2 linked regions of the Macaca fascicularis genome follow. The main gene of each other region encodes a partner of the protein of the gene in region 2 in a complex. Links are inferred from orthologs where the notes say so. Each region holds a gene or a part of one and is shown on either strand. Other genes may lie near its edges.

What was found. Proteins that work in one complex are often made in the same cells at the same time.
Region 1: TONSL (region 2) and MMS22L share a complex: the UniProt entries of both Homo sapiens proteins name them as parts of the MMS22L-TONSL complex. The link is inferred for Macaca fascicularis from reciprocal best matches to the Homo sapiens genes TONSL and MMS22L.

What each region holds. Positions count from the first base shown.
Region 1 is NC_088378.1:78,032,657-78,037,097, reverse strand, and holds the start of MMS22L (protein MMS22-like), read right to left. Parts: upstream 2,992-4,441; 5' UTR 2,869-2,991; intron 2,343-2,868; 5' UTR 2,267-2,342; coding exon 2,103-2,266; intron 1,182-2,102; coding exon 1,056-1,181; intron 1-1,055. UniProt on the Homo sapiens protein: Component of the MMS22L-TONSL complex, a complex that promotes homologous recombination-mediated repair of double-strand breaks (DSBs) at stalled or collapsed replication forks.
Region 2 is NC_088382.1:154,144,978-154,148,974, reverse strand, and holds part of TONSL (tonsoku-like protein), read left to right. Parts: coding exon 1-77; intron 78-1,319; coding exon 1,320-1,392; intron 1,393-1,495; coding exon 1,496-1,659; intron 1,660-1,734; coding exon 1,735-1,858; intron 1,859-1,997; coding exon 1,998-2,758; intron 2,759-2,865; coding exon 2,866-2,942; intron 2,943-3,245; coding exon 3,246-3,399; intron 3,400-3,466; coding exon 3,467-3,545; intron 3,546-3,997. UniProt on the Homo sapiens protein: Component of the MMS22L-TONSL complex, a complex that promotes homologous recombination-mediated repair of double-strand breaks (DSBs) at stalled or collapsed replication forks.

The DNA of each region.
Region 1 (4,441 bases), on a different chromosome or scaffold from region 2:
TTTTTACTGTGTTTTGAAATAATTTGGTTTCAATAACTGACTCCTGTTTAAAATTACCTAAAATCTGAATATGAATTGTGTCTTAAGTGATAATGAAGAACTTTAATTTTTATTAATAGAGTTTTTTTTTTTTTTTTTTTTTGAGACGGAGTCTCGCTCTGTCGCTCAGGCTGGAGTGCAGTGGGCAATCTCGAATCACCGCAGGCTTCGCCTCCCAGGTTCCAACAATTCTCCTGCCTCAGCCTCCCGAGTAGCTGGGACTACAGGCGCGCATCACAACGCCCAGGTAATTTTTGTATTTTTAGTAGGGAAGGGGTTTCACCATGTTGGTCAGGCTGGTCTCAAACTCCCAACCTCGTGGTCTGCCCGCCTCGGCCTCCCAAAGTGCTGGGATTACAAGCATGAGCCACCGTGCCTAGCTGTCCTCATCGTTTTTAAAAAGCCCATATTTTTAAGAAATTCATACTCAAGTATTTATGGGTGAAATGACATGATACCTAGGATTTGCTTACAAGTCAGTCAAAAGAATCAAAAGAAGAGGAGACAAGACATATGAAGGAAATGTAATAAAAAGTTGTTGTTTACTGCAACTGAAGGAGGGTATATGGATGTTCATTATATTATTTTGTGTATGCTTAAATTTTTTCATTAAAAAAATTTTTAATGTTGTCCAAATAGAGAATTAATATTTCTATTACACAATCTAAACTATTTATTTGGAAAGATCATACTCTAAAGATCACTGAAACACTATGGCTATTGAACAACAAAAGTATTTTAATTTTCTTCCAAAATCATAGTTCAAAGCCTTAAATATTTGTCAATACATGAAGTCAAATGCAAAGAATAAAGATTCTGAAAATAAAACACAACTCATTAAAACCATTATTCATCAGGTGTTGCTGCTTGATTACCATTACTGGTAAGATAATCAAGTGAGCAACCTGCACAATTCTCCTGGTCTTTTGCAGTATCAGTATTAGAAGCCACCCAACAATGTAATTTACACAAGTGAACAACACCTACACTCACAGAAAGTTAAAACGAAGAAATACCTGAATAAATGAAAGAGCTCTCTAGATGAATTCACTAATGCTGTTTCAGTAACCCACTGAATGCCAAATATTTCTAAGGTGTCTTCTTCAAAATTAGTTGGTAAAGGATCAAGATTCAAAATCAATCTGAAATGAAAATTATGTTTTAATCCCATTAAAAAGTAAACTAAGTACCATACCTTTACATTATTTGAATCCATATTATACATGACATGTATAAAAAGTCAGAAAATGCCTTGGTACTTTACACATTCAAGATTACAATAGCTAGACTGTATTAAAATGTCAATCTTCTATATTGATAAAATGTACAACTAAAGTGTAATGTAAGTTAAGAGGAAAAATCAACACGGGTTCTAAAACACATATTTCTGCCTGTCTTCACCAGTAGTCTTCAGTTGTAGAATTTTATCCTCCGAGGGGACATTTAATTGTTGAAACTGCTAACAGTTACTCTGAGCCTTGTCTGGAGAACAGTATCCAATTAATGAAGTTGGGTATTCTATTTAAGGTCTCTCACAACGTACAACTATAAAGTCAACAAAAAGTTTCCTGACTGAAACTGCCTCAGCAGGTATTACCAAAATATTTCAAGAACAGCAGTTTTACTGTAATATGTATGTACCTGCCCGAAGCAAAATAGGTAGAATTAAAAGGAACGGGGCAATAAAAAAAATGTTTGTCTTTCTTAAAAATTACTGGAAAGCTCTAGAATATTATCACACCCTTTAGAAGGAAATACCATTTCAAAAGGCTCAGACAATTAGGAATTCACTTTAAGTAAAAGAAAAATTAGCGCCCAGCTCCCTACAGTAAGGGCACATCAGTTACCAAGGAAGTTTTCCCTAATACCCCAAATGCTTTAGATATGCCCTTACCAAGAAGCCAGCAGCAGAACTGATAATCATTTGTACCCTTATGATATACTAAGCTGATTTGTAAAACATGATTTGGTGAACACCCAAGTTAAATGGGCTGAAGTAACTAACATTCCTAAAAAACTGGCGAATAATCAGATGAGGGAAAATGTCTCTGAGCTTTACCTACCGCTTAAGGGCTCCGCTGCAAAGGTAGGATTCTCCAGAAAAATGTTTTCCTTCTCCTCTGTTGTCAACAGCACAAGAAAAGTAAGGAGGTTTGCACCATTCTGTGCCCAGCTCCAGCTCTAAACTGTCAGTCAGGAACGTCGATGCGGCAGAACAGTTTTCCATTGTTTACTTCATGTTCTGAAATGTTTGGGGTTCGTCGTATCATTAAGGGCTCCAAAGAGAAGGTGTGAAGAAATTCCTGTAGGTGGGGGCCGAGAGACTGGGGGTTACTTCAGAAAGTTCCCAGGACGTCCGCCAGCAGCAAGGAAAAACGAACAAACCCAGAAGCCAAATTCCCAATCCTCCCCTGCCGCTCCGCCCCTCAAGGCTGCCAGAACTTAAGACAAAATGCACAACCAACTGGCTGTGGCAGGGACTTCAAAATCAGCCCACTAGGTCGGACTGTGCAGCCCAGGACAAGGTGAAAAGCAAAGAAATGTCTGCAGAACAGAGCGTCCCGGGCTCGCCTAGAACTTCGCCCTCCGCAAGGTTTCTAAACCACTCTCCGCCCGTTTCCTAGCAGCAAGGTGGAGAACGCTCCCTCCCCGGCTCGGGGTGGAAACCAGGAAACCAGTCCCTAGAGCCAACCTCAACCCTTCAAGGAGGCGAGACCCACCAGGCCCATGCCCGGCAGCACCCGGGCGGAGAAGGCTGGGTGCCAGTATCCCGCGCACCCGGCTGCAACAAGGACCCGGTGCGTCGGTTACCCGAGGTGCCTGTCGTACCTGCTCACACTTCCAGCTCCCGAAATCTACCTCCTGTGACCCATACCACCACTAGGAATCTGTGGGGTCTAAACCGCAAACAAGCGAAATTCCCGCCACCGCGCGCCCGCGCTCCGGAAAGGCGGGGCCACGGCGCAGCCCTCCCCCGGCTACCAATCGCCTCGCGATATCTGCGCGGAAACAGTCGGAGCTCCACGAATTCTCGCGAGAGTCAGTCAACCCGGGACAAGGTACAGATAAACTTTTTTTTTTTTTTTTTTTTTGTACCTTTAATTGGTGCGTTCGACTGGAAGGAGGGGCCTGGTAAAAAAAAAAAAAAAAAAAACGGAACTGCTGCTGAGGCGGAGGAGAGGAGGATTTAAGGACTACGGGTTTATCCTCTGGCTAAAGGGAAGAGATTTACTCCAGTGAGTGCGAAGTGAGTGCCTGGTTCACACCTACAGTCGCGCCGTCCCCTCTTCCCGCTCTGGGGCCAGCAACTCTTGTTAGAATGCAGGATGCCTTTTGTCCACGGACTGTGAGGCAGGCAAGTGCAACAGTGAATTTTCTCTGTAACTGATGGAACAAGTAGACAGAAAGTTAGTATGGATATGGAAAACTTGGAAAGCCCTATTAACCGACTTGACCTAATTGACGTTTATAGGTGACCAACCCAACAATAGCAGAATACACACTCTTGGCAAGTGCACATGAAACATTCACTAAGCGAGACCACATTCCGAGCCATAAAACAAACGTCATCAACTTTAAAAGGACTTAAATCGTACAAAGTATATAGTCTGATCATAATGGCGTTAAACTAGAAATAAAAAAATAGATAACTGAAAAACTCTAATTTTGGAGATTAAGAATCATACTTGTGACTAACCTATGAATCAGGAAAAATCACAGGAAAATTAGAAAATACTTTCAATTAAAACGAAAACATTAAAATTTGTAATAGTACCTGGTTACATTAAAAAGAAGAAAGAACTCAACTCAATAAACTTTTGTCTTAAGTAACTAGAAAAAAATCACCAGCATATTGAAACCAAAACAAGCAAAATGAATGAAATAATAAATAGTTGAAATAAATGGAAGGAAATACATGCAACCAAAAGTTGTTTTTTAAAAAGAGCAATATAATTGATAAACCCTCTACCCAGACTGATAAAATAAACATATTATCAGTATCAGGAATTAAAAAGGTTTCATCACTATGAAATTTACTCATTAAAAGGACAAGGATATTAAAAGAACATTATGAACATTTTTATACCAATAAACATAGGTGAAATGGACAAATTCCTTAAAAGACAGAAACTCAAAACTCAAGAAGAAAATTTGAGTATCTCTGTATTTATCATAGTACTCAGAATCTTTGGTTAAGCCTCCCCCCTTCTCTCTCTCTCTCTCTCTCTCTCTCTCTCTCTCTCTCTCTCCACACACACACACACACACACACACACACACACACACCACTTCTTACAAGAAAACTCCAGGCCAGGGCAGGCACAGTGGCTTTGGGAGGCTGAGGTGGGTGGATCCCTTGACACCAGGAGTTCCAGACCAGCCTGGGCAACATGTTGAAACC
Region 2 (3,997 bases):
ACGACATGGGGGAGACGCTGCTGCACCGAGCCTGCATCGAGGGCCAGCTGCGCCGCGTCCAGGACCTCGTGAGGCAGGTGGGTCCTGCTCTGGGACACGGGACAGGCTGCCCAGCATGGAGGAGCTGTGGGTTTGTGCCAGATCCCCTAAATCTCTCTCTCAACCTCCTCATCTTCAAAATGGGGCTCCTTAGCATGGTGGCACTTGCCTGTGGTCCTAGAGGCAGAAGGATCACTTGCTCCTGGGAGATTGAGGCTGCAGTGAGTCGTGATTATGCCACTGCACTCCAGCCTGGGCAACAGAGTGAGACCCTGTTTCAAAAAAATTTAAAAAGCAGAGCCTGAGCAGAGTGGCTTATGCCTGTAATCCCAGCACTTTGGGATGGCAAGGCAGGCAGATCACATGAGCCCAGGAGTTCGAGACCAGCCTGGGCAACCTGGCAAGACCTTGTCTCTACAAGAAATTTTAAAATTAGCTGGATGTGGTGGCGTGTGCCTGTAGTCCCAGCTACTTGGGAGGCTGAGGCAGGAGAATCGCTTGAACCTAGGAGGTGGAGGTTGCAGTGAGATGAGATTGTGCCACTGCACTCCAGCCTGGGTGAACGAGACTCCGTCTCAAAAATAAAAAGCACAAAAAATGCGGTGCCCAGGCCGAGCGCAGTGGTTCATGCCTGTAATCCCAGCACTTTGGGAGGCCGAGGTAAGCAGATCACGAGGTCAGGAGCTCGAGACCAGCCAGGCCAACATAGTGAAACCCTGTCTATACTAAAAATACAAAAATTAGCTGAGTGTGGTGATGCACGCCTGTAGTCCCAGCTACTCAGGAGGGTGAGATGGGGGAATTGCTTGAACCCAGGAGGTTGCAGTGAGCCAAGACCACACCATTGCACTCCAGCCTGGGTAACAGAGTGAGACTCCCTCTCAAAAAAAAAAATGGGGTGCCCGCTGTGTGGTACGCATCTGTGTTGCAGCTAAGTTGGTCAGCCTGGCCAGGATGGGGGCTAGCCCCTGGGCTGAAACCTGGGCACCTTCCCACCCCACCTGCCTCATGCCCCTGCAATTTGGGTGCACCGTCTGCCCACAAGGGGACCGGGCAGGCACAGAGGTTGGAGGATATGCTGTGGCTGGTCCACCTGTCTCAGGGGGAAGCATGTCCTTCACTGGTGACACCTGGGCCAGAGGAAGAGAGGGCAGGGCCACGGGACTTGCTCTGGGCTCTAAGACTGAGGCCCTGGGCCCAGCTCAGGCTGCAGAGCTCATGGGACTGGGGCCAAGCTGTGACGTACACAGGGCCAGGCTCCTTCCTGTCCTTGGTCACAGGGCCACCCCCTGAACCCTCGGGACTACTGTGGCTGGACGCCTCTGCACGAGGCCTGCAACTACGGGCATCTAGGTGAGCAAGGGACAGGAGCCTGGCGCACCTCGGTGGACACGTGGGGCAAAGAGTCAGTCCTTGGGGGGCATCAGGAGCTGGGCTCACATCTCCTGGTCTGTAGAAATTGTCCGCTTCCTGCTGGATCACGGGGCCGCAGTGGACGACCCGGGTGGCCAGGGCTGCGAAGGCATCACCCCCCTGCATGATGCCCTCAACTGTGGCCACTTTGAGGTGGCTGAGCTGCTGCTTGAACGGGGGGCGTCCGTCACCCTCCGCACTCGAAAGGTGAGCCTGGTGGGGCAGAGGGCAAAGGTGAGGGTATGGGGGCTGCTGTGCTCCTGTTCAACTGATACCACACAGGGCCTCAGCCCGCTGGAGACGCTGCAGCAGTGGGTGAAGCTGTACCGCAGGGACCTGGACCTGGAGACACGGCAGAAGGCCAGGGCCATGGAAATGCTGCTCCAGGCAGCCGCCTCAGGCCAAGGCAAGCAGGGCCTCCCGCGTCCCTAGGGTTGCTATGCCTACCCTGAGAGTCCCCGGGCCCTGATTTCGGGAGATGCTCATTCACAGGTGGAATGGGAGGTGCCGGGCCCCTGCCTCAACACGGATTCTCTCTTCCACAGATCCCCACAGCTCCCAGGACTCCCTCACCATCCCAAGTAGCCTTCTGTTTGACCCTGAGACCTCTCCTCCTCTGAGCCCCTGCCCAAAACCCCCCTCTAATAGCACTAGACCCCCAGAGGCCTCTCAGGCCCGTGCCAGGGTCTCCCCAGGGCAGGCAGCACCAGCCGTGGCCAGGCCTCGGAGGAGCAGGCATGGGCCAGCCAGCAGCAGCAGTTCGGAAGGTGAGGACAGCACAGGCCCCCCGCGGCTGTCCCAGAAGAGGCCTCGGTGCTTGGCCACAGCACAACAGGTGGCAGCCCGGACGCCTGGCCCTGCCAGCAACAGGGAAGCAGCCGCAGCCAGCAACAGCCGGGCAGCCTACCAGGCAGCCATCCGGGGTGTGGGCAGTGCTCAGAGCCGGCTGGGGCCTCACCCACCGCGGGGCCAGAGCAAAGCCCTTGCCCCCCAGGCAGCGCTCATCCCGGAGGAGGAGTGCCTGGCTGGAGACTGGCTGGAGCTGGACACGCCCCTGACCCGCAGCCGCCGGCCCCGCCCCCAGGGCACTGGGGACAGCCGCAGGCCTAGTAGTACCTCCGGGTCGGACAGTGAGGAGAGCAGGCCCCGTGCCCGAGCCAAGCAGGTCCGCCTGACCTGCGTGCAGAGTTGCAGTGCACCGGTCAAGGCAGGGCCCAGCAGCCTGTCTTCAGAACCCCCAGGAAGCCCCAGCACCGCCAGGGTCTCAGAGCCCAGTGGGGACAGCTCTGCGGCAGGCCAGCCCTTGGTGGGTGTGCAGAGCTGGAGCAGAGCCCTCTCCTCACTTGGGGCAGGCAGGTGTGGGGTGGAGCCCACTGTGGCTCCTGACTCAGCCCTGCTGCCTTCACCTGCCAGGGTCTGGCCATGCCACCTCCCATCCGGGTTCGAGTTCAAGTTCAGGATCATCTTTTCCTTATCCCTGTCCCACACAGGTGAGACGTCGCCTGCCCTACCCTGCAGCCCACCTGTGCAGCTCCATGCCAGGGTGCTCATGTTTGCACATCAGGGTGGGGAGGGTGACGAGGACTCCCTGGTGTGTTCCTGGAGGACCCTGTGGCTCCCAGGAATGGCAGAGGGGCTGGTGGTGTGCTGGGCTGCAGGGAGAGGAGGGGCCGGCTACCTGGGAGTGGGAGAAGCGGCTGAGGGGGCTTTTGGCCCTGGGCAGGGATGGCGGGTTCCTGGGGCTTCACCCCAGCTGTGCGCAGGCAGCAGCAGCAGCGCCTCTGTCCCTGCAGCAGTGAGACCCACTCTGTGGCCTGGCTGGCCGAGCAGGCGGCCCAGCGCTACTACCAGACCTGTGGGCTGCTGCCCAGGCTCACCCTACGGAAAGAAGGGGCCCTGCTGGCCCCACAGGACCCCATCCCCGATGTGCTGCAGAGCAATGATGAGGTGAGCCGCGGGAGCCAGGGCCTTAGGCACCGGGAGCCCCCAGGTGACTCATGACGGTGCCTTCCAGGTGTTGGCTGAGGTAACTTCGTGGGACCTGCCTCCGTTGACCGACCGCTACCGCAGGGCCTGCCAGAGCCTGGGGCAAGGTGAGAGCCAGGAGAGCTGCAGTTTCTGGGTGAGGCCGTGCAAGGGGATTGGGCACACAGGCTCCACCAGCCCAGTTCGTTCCTGGACCTCGGGTGTTTCGGGGTACACCTCCCCCAGCCTGGTGGGTGCTGTGTCCTGCGCTTGGAAGTATGGATGGCAGGGAGAGGACAGCCCTCAGCCCCCATGAGCTGCTGATGGGGAGATGGTAAAAAGCAGCCAAAAGCCTGGAAAGTCAAGCCCAAGGAGGAGAGCCTCACGTGGGCTGGGAGCTGCTGGAGAAGCTTCCCAGAAAGCTTGTCCCAGGGGGCGTGGAATCTGGCGCTGACTGGTGGAGCTTAGGGTGCTGCAGACCCACATCGGCCCCCACGGCCTCACAGTGCTAGACCCACAGGCATGTGCGAGTGGGCGCTGCAGCATGTCCAGTGGGTGACCCCTGGGGCTGTTGAAAAGG